Arabidopsis thaliana: one gene and its partners. The protein of the gene in region 1 interacts with the protein of each later gene in a pairwise test. Each region holds a gene or a part of one and is shown on either strand. Other genes may lie near its edges.

The links.
Region 2: the proteins of JAZ10 (region 1) and AT1G01260 interact in binary tests that used the Arabidopsis thaliana proteins (3 or more experiments, as listed by UniProt).
Region 3: the proteins of JAZ10 (region 1) and NINJA interact in binary tests that used the Arabidopsis thaliana proteins (3 or more experiments, as listed by UniProt).

The regions. Positions count from the first base shown.
Region 1 is NC_003076.8:4,217,083-4,220,837, forward strand, and holds the start of JAZ10 (jasmonate-zim-domain protein 10), read left to right. Parts: upstream 1-1,745; 5' UTR 1,746-1,918; coding exon 1,919-2,030; intron 2,031-2,107; coding exon 2,108-2,602; coding exon of another isoform or gene 2,603-2,607; exon of another isoform or gene 2,608-2,852; coding exon 2,853-2,914; coding exon of another isoform or gene 2,915-2,957; 3' UTR 2,958-3,380; coding exon of another isoform or gene 3,381-3,420; 3' UTR 3,421-3,755. UniProt on the Arabidopsis thaliana protein: Repressor of jasmonate (JA) responses. Interacts with and suppresses RHD6 and RSL1 transcription factor activities to negatively regulate jasmonate-stimulated root hair development.
Region 2 is NC_003070.9:107,012-110,766, forward strand, and holds the start of AT1G01260 (basic helix-loop-helix (bHLH) DNA-binding superfamily protein), read left to right. Parts: upstream 1-1,934; 5' UTR 1,935-2,319; exon of another isoform or gene 2,320-2,394; 5' UTR 2,395-2,583; coding exon 2,584-3,755.
Region 3 is NC_003075.7:14,265,009-14,268,763, reverse strand, and holds the start of NINJA (Putative interactor of JAZ), read left to right. Parts: upstream 1-1,977; 5' UTR 1,978-2,228; intron 2,229-2,619; exon of another isoform or gene 2,620-2,658; 5' UTR 2,659-2,741; intron 2,742-3,006; 5' UTR 3,007-3,083; coding exon 3,084-3,755. Other genes in the region: AT4G28920 (hypothetical protein (DUF626)), read left to right, coding at 122-349. UniProt on the Arabidopsis thaliana protein: Acts as a transcriptional repressor. Negative regulator of jasmonate responses. Connects the JAZ proteins and the non-JAZ protein TIFY8 with the TOPLESS corepressors.

The DNA of each region.
Region 1 (3,755 bases):
AAAAAAATATAGATAATACAGTAATGATGAATCCACTATACATGTTAAATCCAATATAATAAATCCACTATACATTAGTGTTCTCATATTTCGTTTCAAGATTCGATTCAAAAAATTTGAAAATGTTAAATATGTGTTTCTGAGATTAAAGGCCAAAAGAAGGGTAAGGTCGTATATGAAAGGTGGACAGAGGGGCAAATTAGTCAGCTTGAAAAATACATCGACATTAAAAATCGGCAGCACTGACAAAACGTGTGATAACACAAATAAAAATAATCGGAAGAAAAAGAATAAATAAGGCGTATTGACTCTGGAACGTGAGAAGATGAAAGAGAGCGACGAAAACCTCTAAAGACTTATCGAGAAGTGCACCTTAGCCTAGTGAATAATGATATGTATTGACATTAACTACTACTACTACAGCTCCCAACACGTGAAAGACATGCATCTAACTCTTTCACTTTCGGTTGCCAAGAAAAAAAAAAAAAAAAAACTTTCACTTTCGGCATCAAATATATACTACTAAAAAAGTTTTTTATACGTAATTCTTTTTTAATATTTGATTAGTTCAGAATATTAATTAAAAAAATTACTTTTCGTAATCACTACATTTTGTAGTTATATGATTTTTAATTTAAAATAGTAAAAAGGAGAAATGTAACTAATTAAGCTAACATGCGCGCGATAGAATAAGGTGAAGTTTAAATTTGAGCACAAGATAGAAAATTGAGGTCAATTTAATTCGGAAGTGGTTCAAGGTATATTTTCACAAGAAAGAAAAACGTGAGTTCATTGAATCCCTCTATAACTTTACTTGAGAACAATGTAATAATATGTAAATCTGTTAGGAAACGAGCAGCCACATATGCTTTAAACAAGAGAACAAGAAAAAGAGCGGCCACATGTGAAAAAAAAACACCAGCCAAAATGTGAAACTAAGAAAAGAAAAGAAAAACCATCGACATCGTCCAAAGGATCGACCCGTCTTTTCTGGTTTGGCAGAAAACAAACTTCCAAGTTCCGACTTGACCTAGTCTTTATGCATCTGCAGTGGTGTTTTCTTTAAATCTTTTTTTGAATGGATTTGAAAATCTTATTTTTTCTTCTTCTTTCAAAACACTAACTGTGAATCACCACCAACATTTTATTGTTCTAAAATCCCTATTTGTATGTTTTATTGGTTACTTTCCCAAATATGATGAAAGTTTATTGGTGTACTTTAGTTTAGAAATGTAAGAAATTTCAGTTGTATTATTAGGTCAACCAAATATTATTCTTGAATAGTAATGTCAAATTTTGTTTATATTGAAAAATCAATAAGACTGATATCTACTAAATGTGATTTGCTATACTAGTAGAGCTAGTAGTAGCAAGATTAAAATTCATATTAAGAAAAAATGGAAAAGAAAAACATGTTTCGAGAAAAATATACAGATCAGAGACTAGAGTAGAAAACAAATATAATGTCAGAAGAACCCAATGTGACGAACAGTAACAGAAACATGTTACCAAATTTTTGAAGATATATTTTTATAAAACATTACAATGTTCATTGGACTTCCGTTATTTCCGGATATAAAATATCTTCTTTCTGCGTAGCAAGCAATTACATTACATTAGGTATATTAAGAATTTAAACATGTGTTTTGAATCATTAAATTAATTAGATAAGTAAGAGAAGAGGTTGGGAGCCTAATAAAAACAAAACAAAAAGGAAAAAGTGGATAGGTTGCCAATTGTGCCGAAAAGAAAGAGAAAGCATGAACCTCGTGCGTTAAATAAGTATCAGAGACATACTACATTTTAAAAACTCTCACATGAGAAATCAGAATCCGTTATTATTCCTCCATTTATTCATCTCAAAACCCATATCTCTCTGTCTTGATCTCTCTCTCACTTTCTAATAAGATCAAAGAAGATGTCGAAAGCTACCATAGAACTCGATTTCCTCGGACTTGAGAAGAAACAAACCAACAACGCTCCTAAGCCTAAGTTCCAGAAATTTCTCGATCGCCGTCGTAGTTTCCGAGGTTCGTTTGGTTTTTAGTCGCTCTCTCTTTTTTTTTTCTTGCGATAAATCGAATTTATTCATATGGAACTCCTGCAGATATTCAAGGTGCGATTTCGAAAATCGATCCGGAGATTATCAAATCGCTGTTAGCTTCCACTGGAAACAATTCCGATTCATCGGCTAAATCTCGTTCGGTTCCGTCTACTCCGAGGGAAGATCAGCCTCAGATCCCGATTTCTCCGGTCCACGCGTCTCTCGCCAGGTATTTTTGTCTTTCCGGTAAAGTTTTTTTTTTCTTTCTAACTTTTTTGGCGCTACCAGAAAAGACGAAAAAATTTGAAATTCAAATTTTCAAAACATTCATTTTCCTCAGGTCTAGTACCGAACTCGTTTCGGGAACTGTTCCTATGACGATTTTCTACAATGGAAGTGTTTCAGTTTTCCAAGTGTCTCGTAACAAAGCTGGTGAAATTATGAAGGTCGCTAATGAAGCAGCATCTAAGAAAGACGAGTCGTCGATGGAGACAGATCTTTCGGTAATTCTTCCGACCACTCTAAGACCAAAGCTCTTTGGCCAGAATCTAGAAGGAGGTTAGTATAATAAAAATAAAAATCACTTAGTGCTGGATTCTTCTAGAATTTTAGTTACATATTATTGCATGTAGAGATCTAAGAAGAGTTTGTTGTTAGAGAGGAATTGGTTGCTAATTAGTTTGGAATTAGATATCAAAGAGTTAAAGACTATAGTTTATGTCTATACGTATTAATATACGTTATTAATAAAAGTATAAACATGTTGTTTAATTTCTGATAAGAAACTGGTTTATGCGTGTGTATGCAGATCTTCCCATCGCAAGGAGAAAGTCACTGCAACGTTTTCTCGAGAAGCGCAAGGAGAGGTAATGATTCTTCAACAATCCAAGGATTTTTACCCCCAAATAATTAAAGAAAGGTTTTTATTTTTCTCTCTCTCGACCTTTTTTTTACTATAAGTTATTTAAGATAGTAATTATGGGTCCTGCCTCTTTTACTCTCACATACAACTTAAGATTCAACTAGTTTTGTTCAACAACGCACATGCTTATACGTAGATAGATAATGGAGATCAGTAGTAATATCGGTATACGTAGGTTACTATTGTAATGGAACTTTTAAAAAGCGCGTTGACTTTGAGTCTTTGACTCTAGTTCTGTTTGCTACACCGACAAGTTATATTTTTCAAAATGATGAGAAAACGAGGAGAAACACCGGAAAAAAATTTGAACTTTTACTTTTATCAGACCATACGGCCAAAGAAAGATCTGTATATTATATAAGTTATCACAAAACGCGGTTTCACATTTTCTTTTTCGTCTTGTTGTGTTTGCAGATTAGTATCAACATCTCCTTACTATCCGACATCGGCCTAAACGATCTCTTTTTAGATTGGGACATGGACCAAATTTGTCTTTTTCAATCGGAAGACATCCATGTTCGTTTTTGGATTTGGCTTATTTCCAATCTTCTTTTGAAGCCTTCTTCGTCGTTGCTAAATCGTATACTATTCACGACAAACGTTTTTAGGAGATTACGTTACCTACTAAGATTATATATATTGGTTTGTTTTTAAAAATGTCTATTATCTTTATTGTCATTGATAGCTTGATTTAAGAAGCTCTCTCTTATCCCGTGACCTTCTACTTTTGTTTTATTTTTTAGTATATGGTAAAGAAAATTATAACACGCCTCTTTTAGCTTCTCATGA
Region 2 (3,755 bases), on another chromosome or scaffold:
TATATATATATTTCTTTTTTTATTGAGCTTCGAGATTTGTTTTTTTGTTCATACGATGAGCTTTAAGTTTTGGTCGGTTCTTTTTTCCTTTTCGTGAGTTGTTGGTAGATTAAAGTAGTCATCTTATGATTTGTGTTTTTTTTGGTTGTTACCAAAAAGGTGACGATTTTGTTGACGTTAAACACGGAATTCATTGTAACATGAATATATCAACTATAAACGCCAAAATGGGATTTTCTTTTTTTTATAAGGTAACAAAATTAAGGAAAAACTATTGTTACAACTTCAACTTGCAAGTATGTTTCTGAAGCTAGAGTTTACAGTCACGTGTGAAAATCAAACCAATTTGGATCATTATTGAAGATAAATGAATACTTGATATATTGTTAGTACAAATTTAAACAAAGCGATAGGTTTAGTGGCATTCAGAATAAGTTCACCAAGAACCGGCACTACTTTATCCGGGATTAAATCAACTCTTACAATAGAGTTAACTGGACTAATAGGCCGATTTGTTGTGGTAAAACAAAACCAATGAAATATATGATAAGATTGAGATTTAAGAATTCAAGACTGAGTCCGTTGAACAGCCCATTCTAATTCTGATTGCTAGATAAGGGATAGATGGGGGGCATTATTAAGGTTTGGGAAAAAGGCTGATATCACGTTTGACCTAGCACATATGTGGCCCAACATTACAAGAATTCCATAGAAAACCAGTATTGTAATATCGGCCCATATTATATTCTTGACGACTTGGAGATATTGTAAGTCGACGTCGTTGTTTGACTTAGATGGGAATGGGACCCAAACGTCTCGAATAAAGGATAGTTTAAACACGTGAATCACGCGGTCCCCACTTTTTGCTGTGTGTTTCTCACCGCCATACATATATTATACCCACTCGTGACTTCATTTTCCATAATTACTATATATACTAATTTTTTGTTTTAACTTTATCGTTTGTTAAAGATTTTTCCAAAATAATATAGTCATTGTATATTCATTTTCGCAGAGCCGTAGTTTATATTTTGATGATAATTTTATGACTTAAAGAGTGAAAGCTATAAATATATTACAATTCAATTGTGGTTGCGAGAGAATAAACAAAAAGAGAAAGAGAAAAAAAAAACGTTACAGAAGAGAAAGTGCAGAGCTGTGCAGGCGCATTTGAAAATGAAATTAAAAAGAAAAAGAGATCCAAAGAAAATTAAATGCATCTCACGTTCTTCTCATTCTGGTCATCTCTCCTAAATCCACGTGAACTTCACGTGCTTTTCACGCCCTCCTCTCTATCGACTTGGCGTTTCCTTTCTTCTAAAGGAGTTGAATTGTTTTGTCAACATTTATCAAGTTATTTAGTAATTTGTTTTTTTGTTTTGTTTTTAAAAAAATTATTTACTCCCGTTGTAGAACCACCATCAATAATATTACCAAAAATAATAATCAAGGATCTAAACTAAAATAAGCCTTTTATTTTGTATAATTCTGAAAGCATTTGAAACTTAAGGAACAACTCTTTAGTCTTTGCAACAAAACAAAACACAACAAAAACCGAATATTTAAGCCTAACTTGAATGTGAATTGATTTGGTCAAAATTCCCGGTGCTTGACCACCGGTCTTAGTTGGCATACTTTGCAATTATGTAAACAAAAATTTTAAAAATTGAAAGCAAACTTCTAAATTTGGGTTTGGTTTCCCCTTTAGTTATTTCCATGAACATGAGAATCTAATCTCGAGTTGTCAGATAGTATTTGTTTAGATCTACACCAGTTGAGATAGATCTGTTGCAAATTTTTAATTAATCAAAACCCATAATTGAAAATTATGTCAATCAATTATTGACAAAAACCATGACATAATCTAAGGGGTTTTCAATCGTCGTGTATCAAAGACTCGAGACAAAGACTAAATCGAACCAGACCCGGTTTAAGTTTCTAAACTCAATTGTGTAGTTAAGTAGCTAACCATGGTTCAGATGAAAGTCTTTTTGTTTTGTTTTTTGTTTTGTTTGTTGGGGTTTGGTCTTTTAATAAAAAAGAGCACGAAGAACATGCGTCGGACTCTCTCTCTTCCTTGAATTCATTCAATTGGCCACGGCGACAAAACAGGGAGCCGATACAGCGAAACTGATACATCTTTTTTTATTTTCTGGATTCTTAGGGTTCTTTTTCGGGGAATTTAGGTAATTTGTTTGTCCATTTTGGTGGGGTTTGGGAGATTTAAAATTTGTGTTTTTTTTTGGGTCGGATTCTCAAAAATCTGATTTTGAGGAGAAAATCTCGGTGGAAGAGACTTGATTCAAATCTTCTTTACTGGTAAAAATATATTCTTCTCAATTCCTCATTTTCTGTTGGTGGAGTTTGATTTTTGTCATTTAATTGTTGTTAAAGAAAATAGGGGCAAGATCTGAGATCTCTGGGTGTTCCATGCAAAACTGTTATACTCCGCCGTATATTTGCATCTGGGTCACACTTCTAAACCCTATCATTTGACTTAAGAATCGATTTCTGAAGATCTGGGTTTCTTAAAAGTCTTTCCTTTTTGTTGGGATCCAAACAACAAAAGAAAAGAAAGCAGAGATGAATATTGGTCGCCTAGTGTGGAACGAGGACGATAAAGCGATTGTTGCGTCATTACTGGGCAAACGAGCTCTCGATTACTTGCTTTCCAACTCTGTTTCCAATGCTAATCTCTTGATGACTCTAGGAAGCGACGAGAATCTGCAGAACAAGCTCTCGGATCTCGTCGAGAGACCCAACGCTTCTAATTTCTCTTGGAACTACGCCATTTTCTGGCAGATTTCCAGGTCAAAGGCCGGAGATTTGGTTCTCTGTTGGGGCGATGGATATTGCAGAGAGCCTAAAGAAGGAGAGAAATCAGAGATCGTTAGGATTCTAAGTATGGGAAGAGAAGAAGAAACGCATCAGACTATGAGAAAGAGAGTATTGCAAAAGCTTCATGATTTGTTTGGTGGCTCAGAAGAAGAGAACTGTGCTTTAGGACTAGATAGAGTTACTGACACTGAGATGTTTCTTCTTTCTTCTATGTATTTCTCATTCCCTCGAGGTGAAGGTGGTCCAGGCAAGTGTTTTGCCTCTGCTAAACCTGTTTGGTTATCCGATGTCGTCAATTCGGGTTCTGATTATTGCGTTAGATCGTTTCTTGCTAAATCTGCTGGCATTCAGACTGTTGTTTTGGTTCCTACTGATCTTGGTGTTGTTGAGTTAGGCTCAACTTCATGTTTGCCTGAAAGTGAAGACTCAATCTTGTCTATAAGATCATTGTTTACCAGTAGTTTGCCTCCGGTTAGAGCTGTTGCTTTACCTGTTACTGTAGCTGAAAAGATTGATGATAACAGAACGAAGATATTCGGCAAGGATTTGCACAATTCAGGGTTTCTTCAACATCATCAGCATCACCAACAACAACAACAACAACCACCGCAACAGCAACAGCATAGACAGTTTAGAGAGAAACTCACGGTTAGAAAAATGGATGATAGAGCTCCCAAGAGATTAGATGCTTATCCGAATAATGGGAACAGGTTTATGTTTTCGAACCCAGGCACCAACAACAACACTCTTCTGAGTCCTACTTGGGTTCAACCTGAGAACTACACGAGGCCAATCAACGTGAAGGAAGTTCCAAGCACGGATGAGTTCAAGTTTTTACCTTTGCAGCAATCATCGCAGAGGCTGCTTCCTCCTGCTCAAATGCAGATAGATTTCTCTGCTGCGAGTTCAAGGGCTTC
Region 3 (3,755 bases), on another chromosome or scaffold:
CGTGATGTTATGTTTGCCTCCACTTCTCTTCACTAACCAAATGAAATGTATTTTGTATCATATAAAGAGCTCGCTGGTGAGGAGTTTTCTACCATTAAAGATCAAGTATGTAATTGTACAGACTCGGAAGAGCTGTGAAGAGTCGCCGCACTTGAAGCTCAAGGCCAACAACGCTATCTTCTACATGGGTTTCAAGGGCAGTGGTGATCATCATCCGAGTGGTAAGCATGTCGAGTACCAAACAATAGTACGGAAAGCCATGGATGGAAAACCGGGACACATTCGTCTAGAAGTTGACTCTTGGCAAGCCATACCAAGCGATTTAATTGGGGAGGATGAACCGCCCTAGAGTAAACCTGAACCGGAATGCTCATCCTCTGCTGCTCAATAAAAAGTTACCGTAGGGTTGACTTCAAGTCCTTTGATGACGACTATACTGTGAATCTGTGATTACTTGTTCTCAATGCAATAACTACAAGTCTCTTCTTCTTCCTCTTTTTAAAGCTTGTCTTCTACTTGTGATTACTTGTTCTGAATATTGTGATATCAATCAAGACAAGTATGAAATCACCAAGAGCTCTAAGAATATATTTTTTTCTATCATTTTATTCCTTGGATTTTTGAAGAGTAACAAAACATATATGATTTTCATGAGAAGTTGAAGCTGAGAGAATAATATTTAGAGTTGTATTATCGTGAATTGTTGGTAACGATGATGGAGGCTCCTGGGACTAGGGTTGGGAGATGGGAGTTCACTTCTATTGAGAGCAAGTCGGTGAGGAGGAGTTTCTTTGAAACAATGTGATAGGCGGCGGCGATTTTGTATGTGGGAGACGGTGAGGGGTCTTCTTCACCGTCTCACGGTGGATAGCCACAACATCATCAACGTAGACATTAGGTTGAAAAATTCGACATCTTATGGTATTTAATATGACGATTAAAAAGAGAGAAACAAGTCTATTTATCCTTTGAATTGTTAATGATCCTTTTTAATTTATTTTTCAAACTTATAAAACTATGAATAATAGCATCAGAAATAATAAAAAAAAAACCATGTAACTTTATTGCTTATGAGTCAATCAAAGTATATATTTATTCATGTTGTAGCTTTTCAATATTATTAACCATGTTTGTTTTCATTATTTTATTTTTACATAAGTAACATATTTTCATGCCATTAAAATTTTACAACATAAGATAATTTTATTTTATAATATTCAAATTTCCAATTTCCAATTTCCTCTTTAGTCTTAAGTCTTAACATGTCAATTTTTGTATTAAAAAAAAAACATGTCAATTTTTTGTACAAAAAAAATAAAACCATGTCAATTTAGGAGGAAAAAAAACTGGAAAAGCCTGACAAAGAAAAAAAAGCTGGAAATATCAAAAATAAAATGATAACGTCGCCTGAGAGATTCGAACTCTCGCGGGGAAACCCCATGTACTTAGCAGGCACACGCCTTAACCACTCGGCCAAAGCGACTTTATTGATCATGAATCAATCTAAAATATATATATATATAAACCTATCGTTTTGAATTTTTTTTTTTGGCAAACAGCTTTTGATACTATTATATATATATATATATATATTATCCCCACATATCTTTAGCTATGTCTTTTTCGAAGGAAATTTTGAAGTATTAAATTAAGTGACGATTTACACACATATGGAGTAATTAAATCGTTTTAGCATATCTTGTAATGTTGTCTCTCTTATCCAACTATTCTAAAGAAAGTGGTGACTAGAAAATATAGATTATATACTATGTGACCAACTTTTTAGTATATCTTTATAAAAACGCATAAGATATGTCATATGTGTTTCCTCTAAAACTTGTTAAAGAAATGAAAAATCTGTTGGTAGATGTGAATAGTTATGGACTAGTTTGGCTTTAAAAAGAAAATTGGGCCCATGTATTTCTATTCATGCATTGGACATGTACAATGTACAAATATATTCATGATTGCAAACATGTAGTATATATGCTGACTATACGATTGTTATTTATTCAAAAGTTAAGAAAATGCACAAGATACACATGGACGAAATCGAAACTAATTGTACAATAAAATAATAATTATTAGTATTACGAAGGGAAAAGGGAAATGGTCCGTACTAGTTGTCCGAACCCGAAGAAGCCCCAATCGCTGATGCAACTGTCTAGGAGCCGCCACGCTGCGAAGAAGCTCTAGGGTTTGTTCGTCTTCTTCCTCGGTTTCATCAGGTTTTCATCTTCTCGATTCTGATTTCGGCTTCTGTTTTAGCTTTATTCGGCTTATTGTGATTTAATTTGAGCTGATTTGGCATTATTGCTGTGTAGTTAGGGGTCAGGGTTTTAATCTGATCGCGTCTAGGTTATGATTCTTTTGATGATTTCGATCTTTAGAAAGTCAATTGATTTGTTTCTTCGTATGTAGCTCGTTTAGCTGACAGATCTGCATAGTGTCTTATCAGTTACTAGATCTTTGTGCTATCTCTCACTCTGATTTCTGGATTTTGATTCCTTTTTTTTTTTTGTTAGCTGACATACAAGTGTGAGTGATGTGTGTCTTTGCTTTGTTTCCATTTTAGTTTAGTTTCTCAAAATGGAAATGATGAATATTGGGGGTTTTCAGAACCTAAGTTGTAGAAATGGTCTTTTTTTGTTATCACAGAACTCAAAAGGTACTTGGTAGGAGCGAGAAGAAAGTTTCTGGAGAATTGCTGAATTGTTTCTTTCAATGGTTTTGTTTCTAAGGTACTATCCGAGTCCAATGTTTCTGAGAGTTCTGGTAGCTTGTTAATTTGTTATACTGAATACTAGGATTGATTTTGGCAAAGCATGTGATGTTTGTTGCAAGTTCAAGCAGATGTGTTTCTTTTTATAAATTTAGAAGAAGTTTACTTCCGCAGCCATCTATGATTCTCAAAGTTCTTAGCTTTGCGTTTGATTCTTTTTTCTAGAAACCATTGGTTAGCTTTGGATAATGAGTCCTTTTCTGCCCATGATGTATTTTTCTCAGATGGTAATCAAGATTGTTGACGGTGCTCTGAAGATCTGTTGACCTGCTCAGAGTTTGCTTAAAAAGTTTGAGAAAAAATGGACGATGATAATGGGCTCGAGCTCAGCTTGGGTCTTTCTTGTGGAGGATCAACAGGAAAAGCTAAGGGTAACAATAATAATAATGCTGGAAGCTCCTCAGAGAACTACAGGGCAGAAGGAGGCGATAGAAGTGCTAAAGTGATTGATGACTTTAAGAACTTCCTGCATCCAACTTCTCAAAGACCTGCAGAGCCGAGTTCTGGTTCTCAGAGAAGTGATTCGGGTCAACAGCCTCCACAAAATTTCTTCAATGACCTCTCAAAAGCTCCTACAACTGAGGCTGAAGCTTCTACGAAACCTTTGTGGGTGGAGGATGAGTCACGGAAAGAAGCAGGGAACAAAAGAAAGTTCGGGTTCCCGGGGATGAATGATGATAAGAAAAAAGAGAAGGACTCGTCTCATGTTGATATGCATGAGAAGAAGACAAAAGCATCCCATGTTTCAACTGCGACAGATGAAGGATCAACAGCTGAAAACGAAGATGTAGCAGAGTCTGAAGTAGGTGGTGGTTCTTCTTCCAACCACGCAAAGGAGGTGGTTCGTCCTCCTACTGATACAAACATTGTGGACAACTTAACTGGTCAAAGGAGGAGCAACCATGGTGGATCTGGCACTGAAGAGTTTACAATGCGCAACATGAGTTACACCGTACCTTTCACAGTTCATCCG